Schizosaccharomyces pombe: one gene and its partner. The protein of the gene in region 2 interacts with the protein of the main gene of each other region in a pairwise test. Each region holds a gene or a part of one and is shown on either strand. Other genes may lie near its edges.

Region 1 (4,835 bases), on a different chromosome or scaffold from region 2:
AAGAAAAGGTTTCAAAAATGGAACCTGAGGAAATGACAGTGAAAGAAAAAAAATCTATCATCGAAATTCTCAAAGCCCGCATTGCTTTGAAAAAGGCTTTTCTAAAGATGGCATTATCTGAAAGCAATGATACCGTAGTTAAAAAAGAGGACGTAAGGGAAAGTCCTGTTGATACTTTTATGGAGAACGCAACCTGATGTTCGAGAGCATCAATTTAATCTCTATAAGGTACTTCTTCAACTCCAAAATATCGCGTCTACGTTGATGAAGTGAAAGCTATTCGAACTCAGCGTTTGTGATTCACTATCAATCTATTGAATATCTTAAAATATCTCGACGCTCTTAAAATTTGATACTCAGCCTTTAATTGACTAATTTGTAAGTTGCATAAAAATAATCCTTGTCGCCTTTTGGTAGTGCGTTCTCAATTAACACTTCTACAAACAGTAGGTTTGATAAAGAGTCCTCTTTAAACCTTACAATATAATTTACCATTGATACTTTTAAAAATAAATCAATAATTAAAATTACTAATGGATCTACACATTTTCTTTAAACACACATTTATCTTGTATCTCGTTTTGTATTAGCTATAATGCGATTATCTTTTGCGTCTCAGGTACCACATAGACACTGCTAAAATTACAATAGAACTAGAAACAATGCCAATGTAAATGGGTTTTTTGCTGTTTCCTTTATCAGCTTTTGCAGTGGGTTGATGAATATCGACAATGCTGTTTGCTACGCCTTTCTCTACAACGGAGGCAGATCCAATGCTGCTATCAACTGTAGAAATTGGTGGATGTGAGCTTTCCAAATGATTGGTAAAAGCAGCCACACCTCTCACTTCTAGACGTGGTAATCCTCTCCGGCGCGCTAAAAGAATAGCTTCGCGCAAGTCAGAATCACTAACTAATTCGACTACATCGCCCTCATCATCGATATAAGTTAAAGTGACAAGTTGTTCTTTTTCTCTTTCTTCCACTGCGGTACGAAGATCGCTTACCGAATTTATGCCATCAAGGCGTAAACGATGCACACGGCCTGCGATGGAACGGTACTTGATGGTAAATTGCGATGGACTTTGAGGATTTAACGGGAAAATTTGGGAAGCAGAGTCGGTGGGTTGAACAAGATCTTGTAGTGCTTGCTCCACAAAGGAAGGATTGCCGTGGTATTGAGGTAAGGATCCAACGTATGAAGGAGCTAATTGAGATGCACTGTTATACGGTTGTAGATATGGTGATGCTGCAAAACTATTTGAGCCATTTTCAGGTGTATCCATAGGCTTTTGACTAACACTTGGATGAAAAGATTGTTCTGACATTGCAGTAGGTGGATTGTTGGAGAAATTATAATCATTTTCAACGCCAACATATTCTTGGGGCTTGTTGTTAGAAGAGAGATTTTCGTTTTGCCAAGCTTGTACTGGTGGCTTGGGCAATTGTCTTGCAGAATATTCATAAGTGCTTTCGCTTTGTTGTGTATTTGATGGAAGAGGATTTAGAGGCAAGGGGGGATTTACATCATAATTTTCAACAACTTCATTTGAATTTCCTAATAGCTGCTGTTGTTGATCTTCAAAACCATTTGAAGGTTCAATACCGGCATCATTTTCTGCTTGATCGAAAACTTCTTCTTCTTCTTCTGGAGTTTGCTCGATTGCAGTTGCGAGATGGAATAAGGAAAGCATACCTATTATGGCATCACTTTCGTCAACGACAGGAAGGTTACTAAATTTACCTTCGATCATGCGCTCAAGAGCCGTGCTTACACGAAGGGAAGCCAAAGCACAATCTGGATGGGGAGTCATGACGCGTATGACAGAGCTGCGATATGGGTCAAGGCCAGCTGCTAGCACACGCAAAACTACGTCGTGAGCGGTAAATACACCAGATACGGCTCCATTGTCCATTACCAAAACAGCAGAAACGCCAGACCTAGCCATAGACTCGGTCGCTTCGGCAACAGTAGTGCGAGTACCTACAAGAAAGGGCTCTTCTGAAGAATCAATGAGAGACATAATTTCAAGCCCTGATGCTTTCTTTTTTAAGGATTCGACATATTCAAGAAACTCAGCAGCATGATTACCAGAGACTGAGGAAGAATTGGTATTACCAGATACCGATTTATTTTCTATTTCCTCTTGAGCACCTTCAAGGGCTTCCACTAATTTTTGTGCGGCTTCCTGTTGTCTAGCTATGCGATTGAGAGGTTCACGTAAACAAGCCCGCATGTTGATTATGCCGATTACATCGCCTTCGTCTCCAGCCGAACCATCAGGACCACCATCGCTGACTACAGGTAAATGTCGAAATTTGTGTTCAATCATTAATAGCAAAGCGTCATCAAAACGTGTATCACTGGTAATACACAAAGGACTTGTACTCATTATATCGGCGATCAATGTCTGCCTAGCATTCAGACCTGCACCGACACATCGGGTTGCTATATCCGTAGCTGTTACAATTCCTGCAAGTTGCTCATCGTCGTCCACAACGAGTACGCAATTTTGGCGTTTGGCTGCCATCAATTGCGCTGTTTCAGTAACCAGACTTTGCATGTGAACCGTCAATGCTGGATCTAAGGCAGCACTATCTACCGTTCCAGGCTCTCCATTTCTTCTTATCTTTCTAACTGGAGACTCAAAATTTCCTGACTTTTTACCCAATTCAGATATGATTTTCTTTCTCAGCGCCTCGTCCCTTTGATATTGGCGTTTCCGTGTATCTGATACGTGTGAAGCGGTATCAGACGCTGTTGATGACACTACCGAAAGTGTACCAACCGTCATATTCACCTTGTTTGAAGCTTAAAAGAAGGATATTATTGTTTACAGCTGCAAGCAAGAGAAAGAACTATATGTCAACGAGTACTAAACAAACCCTGTGTTTATTTACATTCGTTAACCCATTTTGCATGTTTATTCGTATTACTTAGTATTACGCTATTTTTTTACGAAATGCTAAGTAATGTCGAAGACGTTGAAAATGAAGGTAAATATTATATACGTACGATTCAACACCTTTTTTAAGTGTATATAATTAAGTTACATTGTTAAATGGGTACAAGTGAAAAAGAAAACAACGTGAAGTAATAATACCAACACATAAATTTAGCTCGCTTTCTGTGTTTCTTTTGGTGGATTGAAAAAAATCGACACCAGCAGGATTTGAACCTGCGCGCGGAGACCGCAACAGATTTCTAGTCTGTCCCTTTAACCACTCAGGCATAGTGTCTAAGTTGCTTTAACTCATTTTATCACCATATATAACCTGTATGTTGATTGTAAACTGTTTCTCATAAATAATCCCTAGTCTTTAATTACAGTTACAACAATACATTGAACTTTTGCAAAACATTAGGGTAAATCGTTTGTTTCTCAACAGATGTCCTTTGACACCGTTGAAACCCGCAAGACTGTAGTTTGCTCTATCAAACAACATATGCCATAATGGTACTATTGAAAATTCAATACACCTTGACTTTATTTATCATGTACCACCTCAATTATTGTAGCACTACGACTTTACTGCTCATTTTTTTCATTACTAGTTAAGGAACACTAAGTTTTAGCTGAGCAACTTTTGAATTCATTGTATCAAAATCAAACAAAGAACTAAATTTCCATCATCATGCGGTCTCATTTCGTAACTTTATTTATTTATTAATTTATTAGTTAGGATCATTGTCTTTCATCTTTTTAAAAAAGTTCATTTCCTAAATCCTGCTTTTCAAACCAGCTATGAGTAAATACATATAACGACGTTCTTTAATGACACAGCGACAACGCTTTCAAATAGACATTACCATAATCATCACGACCTGTCATACAAAAAAGGAACCTTAAAACCTCTCATCGTTACAAACCGGAAGGCTTATAAGTCCTTTACTTTTGCTTGTGCATGTTTGCCATGTGATTCAAAGCACTACCGGCCTTGAACCATTCAATTTGATCCTTGTTAAAGGTATGGTTAAGTTTGGTAGACCACTCAGCAGATCCATCAGCAGGGTGAACAACCAAAGTTAAAGGCTTACCGGGAGCAAAGGTAGTGAGACCATCGATATCGACGGTGTCGAAAGGAGAAATCTTGTCATAAGCTGCGGGATCGGCAAAAGTCAAAGGCAACAAACCTTGCTTTTTAAGATTGGTTTCGTGGATACGGGCAAAAGATTTGGTGATAACAGCGGCGCCTCCCAAATAACGAGGTTCGAGAGCAGCATGCTCACGAGAAGATCCTTCACCAAAATTTTGTTCACCCAAGGTAACCCAACGGATTCCATGATCACGATAATCAATAGCAACGTTGGGGACAGTCTTGTATTCACCGGTGAGTTGATCCTTCAACTTATTTGCTTCACCGTTTTCAGCATTAATAGCACCAATCATATAGTTATTAGAAATGTTTTGAAGATGTCCACGGTACTTCAACCAAGGACCAGCGGCAGAGATATGATCAGTAGTACACTTGCCCTTAGCCTTGATAAGGATTTTCAAACCCTTCATATCCTTTCCATCCCATTTCTTGAAGGGAGTAAGGCGTTGTAAACGCTTCGAATGAGGATCAATGGCGACATCCTTGACATTGACCGAGCTAGGTGCAACATAAGTGTTGCTTCCTGGGTCGTAACCCTTGGAAGGAAGACCAGCACCGGTAGGAGGTTCAAACTTAAAGTCGTTTCCATCCTTATCTTTCAAAGTATCAGTAAGAGGGTTAAAGTTCATGTCACCAGAGAAAACCATGGCAGTAACAATATCGGGGGAGGTTACAAAAGCATGAGTGGCAGGGTTAGCATCGTTACGACCAGTGAAGTTACGGTTGTAAGAGGTGACG
Region 2 (5,143 bases):
TATTGAAATGTTTGATTACTAACGGTTTTTAGGACTCAGAAATACACCATCGATATTCAGAATTTGCTTCTTTGCGCGTACAACTTAGCCGCCTGTATCCTACTTGCTTGGTTCCTCCATTACCTGATAAACATAAAATCATGGATTACTTGATAAACGTCACCAAAAACCAACGAATGTCTCGTATGCTCGAAGAAAGAAAGAGATTATTACAATTATTTTTGAGAAGGGTAGCACAACACCCTATTCTGGGCCTTTCAGAAGTTTTTCGAAAATTTCTTAGTCGACATGTATCTTGGAAGGAAGTATTGCATAGTCCTCCTATTAGTTGTCTCCCAAAGGATTTATTGAAAGCCCCACCAGCTGATCCTTCTTCTAAAGAGAATGCTGAGTTATACAAGGAGCTGCCTATTCCCTCTAAAACCCTTGTACCTCGTGACAATTATGACGATGTTGGGAAAAATTTTCTTATGCTTGAAGATACGCTACAGCAGTATTCAATAGTAGCACAAGAGGAATCCAATTTATTTAATCAAATTGTTTTATCAAACTCTAAGTATTGCCTCGCACACTCTACTTTGGGGGCAATGTTTAACGCTCTTTCGTTATCCGAGTCGGGAAAGCTTTTGACAGCACTGGAAAAGGTTGGACAAGCAAATGATCACACATGTCTTGCTAGTATTGACTTTATGCACAACTTTGTAATCGCGGTAATAGAACCGCTTCAGGAGCTTTCAAAAGACGCCAAAAATATGCGTCACATTTTTATCTTTAGAAAGATGAAGTTTATTCAACAGGTAATGGTCGAAGAGCTTCTCACAAGAAAAAAGAGCTTTCTTCATCTTTTGGAGCGCAGGGAGAGACATGCTGCTCGTCTACAACAGGCTATTGGTGAGGTAGATGGGGACGTAATACTCAATAGGGAATCGGAAGCTACTTTGGGTGTAAATAACGCTCAAACTTCTCGTTCAACTATTCCCGAAGAAGATCCCCTATTTAATGATGAAGAATCAAAAGAGCCGTCGGTTCCCTTGATGGGAACCGATCAGCCCTTGGAAAACTATCATGATGGAAATGGAGAGCAAACGGAAGAGTGTTTGCGGGATTTACGGCACAATCAAAGTCAAGATTTTGAAACAGTATCACAAGATACCTCTTTGACGTCAGTTACTGTTTTACCGCGCACGATTCGTGATGTATTTGATAGAATACGTTTTGTATTGAATGGTCTAACTGATAATAATGTGGAAGTATCGCGACACAACAACATCGGTAGGACCGCAGAAAGCGTTACCCATCTTACGGACATGCTCTTGATTACCACTAAGGATGTCGCATTTGTAACTGACAGAGTAAACTTTGAGTTCCAGCGCTACCAAGACACGCATCGTCAGGATTTAAACAGAATTTTAAACCGTTTGACCGATAGTCATATAGATTGGGCCAACCGGAACTTGCGAATCTGGAATTCCGTACAAGAATCATTGAAAACATATGTATCATAATTTATTGGTCCTAGATTTGGTTGGGTTTCTTTTTCAATACAATGTTTGAATATTTGCTTTCATGCTTTTCTTCCTATTCTGCATATTCTACCCCTAGGTGTTTTACTTCATTCAGGCTTGACCTACTAAGGTTAGAGAATTCCGGTACCCTTTTATAAACGTGCCATTGAGATTGCCTTGTCTTTCAGGTTGATTAGCACCTTGCTTGGTTTTTCTTCATGAATCTGTTTTTTTTATGATTATTTGTAATGAAATATATGAACGCCTATCTTCTTAATTGACCATCATCTTAAATTTGTACTGAAAGTAAGAGTCACATGTCGATCAGTATGTAATATATCGGTATACAATTGTTTGCCGTTTCACCATAATAAACTGGTAATTACTTCCTGTACTTTTATCAATTAAAGTTATTAATTTATTTTAATTATTAAAGCTTTTTAATTGCAATATTCGTCTTTTTTACTTTTCCATCATCATGTTAGCAATTCACACGGATGTAACGTTATATTATGTATATATATATATAATGTCACCATATTTATGCTGTCATCCGTTTACAACACAGCATCACTTTGTCTTTCTGTTGTGAATTGCTTTATTAACATAAATTAAAGGAATAAATCCTTTTAAGAATTGTTAATAAGTCTTTATTTTATAGATAGCTACAGCAAGTGTTTGTGCGTGATGAAGATATGTCATCAGTAATTTCATGAATTAATGAGGTTTTCCTTTTTCGACTGAAATAATTGAAGAAGGTTCATATTCTTTCTTAAAAAAAAAAAAACAATATTTTTAAGTTTCTAGTATTCTCTGGAGTCATCCATGGAATTAACGAGTGTAAAATTACTTGACATTAGCAATCGACATCTGAATTAGTTTTACGAGCGATTAAAAATGAGAAAAGAAAGGCCAGGAGTATTATTTAATAAAATAAGGTCTTACTTTATTTGTCCGGGCTGTAATTGTTTGCCTGACTGGCCTGTCACACTTCCTTGTGGAGGAACAGTCTGTCGGAAATGCTTTCGAAACGCATATTCTTCGGAAAGCTCTGGAAAAGTTAGTCCCTCAAGATGTTGCTTTTACAACCATAAGAAACCGCATTATTCTGTAGAGACCGAAGTGAAAGATGTGATCATTTCCAAAGTGGTTGAATTGATTAAAACTACAGAGTTTCAAATTTCTCAGCAGAGTTTGGTACCGCTGGAATTAAAGGAGGAAATTTGTCATGACGATTGTCTTTCTTCGTCACCACCTTGTACTTCTGCATTGACTGAAATTACTCTGCTGCCTCCCACTTTTCATAACTTAATACCTTCCTCATCTTCTTATGAGACTGCAGTAGCTGAATTTTTACATATGGAGGACCTATTACAAGAGAATGTTTCTCGAGAATTGGAATGTCAAATTTGTTTTGGCATGCTTTATGACCCAGTTGTTTCTCCATGTGGACATACATTTTGTGGCCCTTGCCTTATGCAAGCACTAACCCAGTCTCCTCAATGCCCGACTTGTCGTTTTGGGCTCCCATCTCCTGTTGTGTTGGAACATGCGAAAAGCCACTCTATTACCACATTTTTGCGAGATTTTTACCCAGATAATTGGTTAGAACGTCAAAAATCATGGGAAGAAGAAAAGGAACAGGAAAGTTGGCTTCCGTTATTTATTAGCATGCTTGCATATCCCAGAATGCCGACATTCCTTCATATTTTTGAACTGCGATACCACATCATGATCAAAAAATGTCTGGAGACTTCTAAGCGATTTTGTATTGCAATGCCTTTAAGAGCACGAAGTGATGGTCATAATGAGCATCGAGAGCTTCGAAATGCTCGTGGTCAACGTCTTTTTTGTTCTGAGTATGGTACAATTTTAGAAATTATCCAAGTCGAGCCTTTGATCGATGGGAGAAGTCTTGTAGAAGCCCGTGGTTCATATTGTGTTCGTATAATCGATTTTCGAGCTGATGGTTTGTTTCCGAGAGTGAAAATTGAAAAGCACTATGATACTCCTTTGAGAGCCACTCCACTCCAATTTCCTGAGCCTGAATATCTATTAATGTATGGTAATCTAAGTAATGAAGAATTAGTTGAAAGAATAGATGCTTTTTACATGAATGCCCGCCGAACATATGTTCATTGGGTTGTACCTTTAATCGATATAAAAATGGAGGCTAGACAGTCAATTGCTGACTTGTCTTACAAAATCACCAATCTTCTTCCTATCTCAGAGCTTGAGAAAACTCGCATTTTGCAAGTTGACAACCCGACCGATCGACTGGTTTTGGTTCTTATTTGGTTAACTCAACTTCAAGAAAGTTGGTGGTATCGTGTTGGAAGTGCTTGCACCATTGCTTGAGTTTTAATTGTAGTTGAAGTCGCGCGCCCTTTGTATGGGCCATAAAATATAGCCTTTGATTTACTGAAAGGTTATCTCGAAAACGATCAAAATACATCTAATTACCCTATACAAATGAGCACTTAATTCTTGGCATCTGAGAATATCTGGGGTTGATTGTCATGAATATTTCTTTGACCAATTTAAAAACACCCATGCCAATACAGCAAGAATTCTCTTTTTGTTTCACACTTTATTTAATAGTTGATGTTTGCAACTTTTAATATTTATTTTTCTTGATGGTTTTTTGTTTATTACTTTTTCACTGTGAAGATATTTTAATAGTATAATCCAAAATAATTTTGGTTTTCGTTATCTGCTGATGAAGTAGATTTTGGCATTATAGAGAAATTAATTTTCTGCTCTTACTAGTTCACATTTCATATTCACTAGTTTAAGAATACAAGTTTCAATTGACGAAGTGGTCTCTGTCTTTTTCTTACTTAGGCATTGGTTAAAGTAAATTTATAACCCCTTTTGTAATATTGCTAACATATGTGGAAAGGCACCTTTACTCCTCTATACTTGATCTTCAATTGATTTGCTTGGTGGGTTAGGTGAATACTACATATGAAGCATGGAGGCACAATAAATTATCGTTTGATTTTTCATGCGCGTTAACTAATTAATATGGAAATTACAAAATAATAAATCTGATGGTCTTCTCAAGGTGGAGCATTTGTAGAGCACTACTTAGTGTTGGTTCCTCACTGTCCATTCACCACAACAGGTAGAAATTTTTTGGCGAGCTTAAGATTATCGAATATGGAGGATTATGGTTCATATAGTACACCATTGACAGCAAGATATGCTTCTGCTGAAATGTCTCATCTCTTTTCAAGAGAAATGCGTATTAATACTTGGAGACAATTGTGGTTGAATCTCGCCATTGCTGAAAAGCAACTCGGTTTAACTCAAATTACTGATGAAGCTATTGAGCAACTTAAAGCGCATGTCAAAATTACAGCTCCAGAATTTGAAATCGCTGCTAAGGAAGAGAAGCGTCAGAGACACGATGTTATGGCTCACATCTATACATATGGTCTTGCTGCTCCTGCTGCTTCTGGTATTATTCATTTGGGTGCTACTAGCTGTTTTGTAACCGATAATGCTGACTTGATTTTCTTACGCAGCGCCATGGATCTTTTGATCCCTAAGTTAGTCAACGTTATCAATCGTCTTAGCCAGTGGTCTTTGCGATACAAAGACATTCCTACTCTTGGGTTTACACATTATCAACC

What was found.
Region 1: the proteins of SPOM_SPBC14F5.10C (region 2) and mug70 interact in a two-hybrid assay, tested with the Schizosaccharomyces pombe proteins (one large-scale study listed by BioGRID).

Annotation. Positions count from the first base shown.
Region 1 is NC_003424.3:3,044,520-3,049,354, forward strand, and holds mug70 (protein mug70), read right to left. Parts: upstream 2,868-4,835; 5' UTR 2,795-2,867; coding exon 602-2,794; 3' UTR 545-601; downstream 1-544. Other genes in the region: protein Med9, read left to right, coding at 1-197; aco1 (aconitate hydratase), read right to left, coding at 3,890-4,835. UniProt on the Schizosaccharomyces pombe protein: Has a role in meiosis.
Region 2 is NC_003423.3:4,174,972-4,180,114, reverse strand, and holds SPOM_SPBC14F5.10C (ubiquitin-protein ligase E3), read left to right. Parts: upstream 1-2,056; 5' UTR 2,057-2,402; coding exon 2,403-3,863; 3' UTR 3,864-4,643; downstream 4,644-5,143. Other genes in the region: sorting nexin Snx41, read left to right, coding at 33-1,505; adenylosuccinate lyase Ade8, read left to right, coding at 4,668-5,143.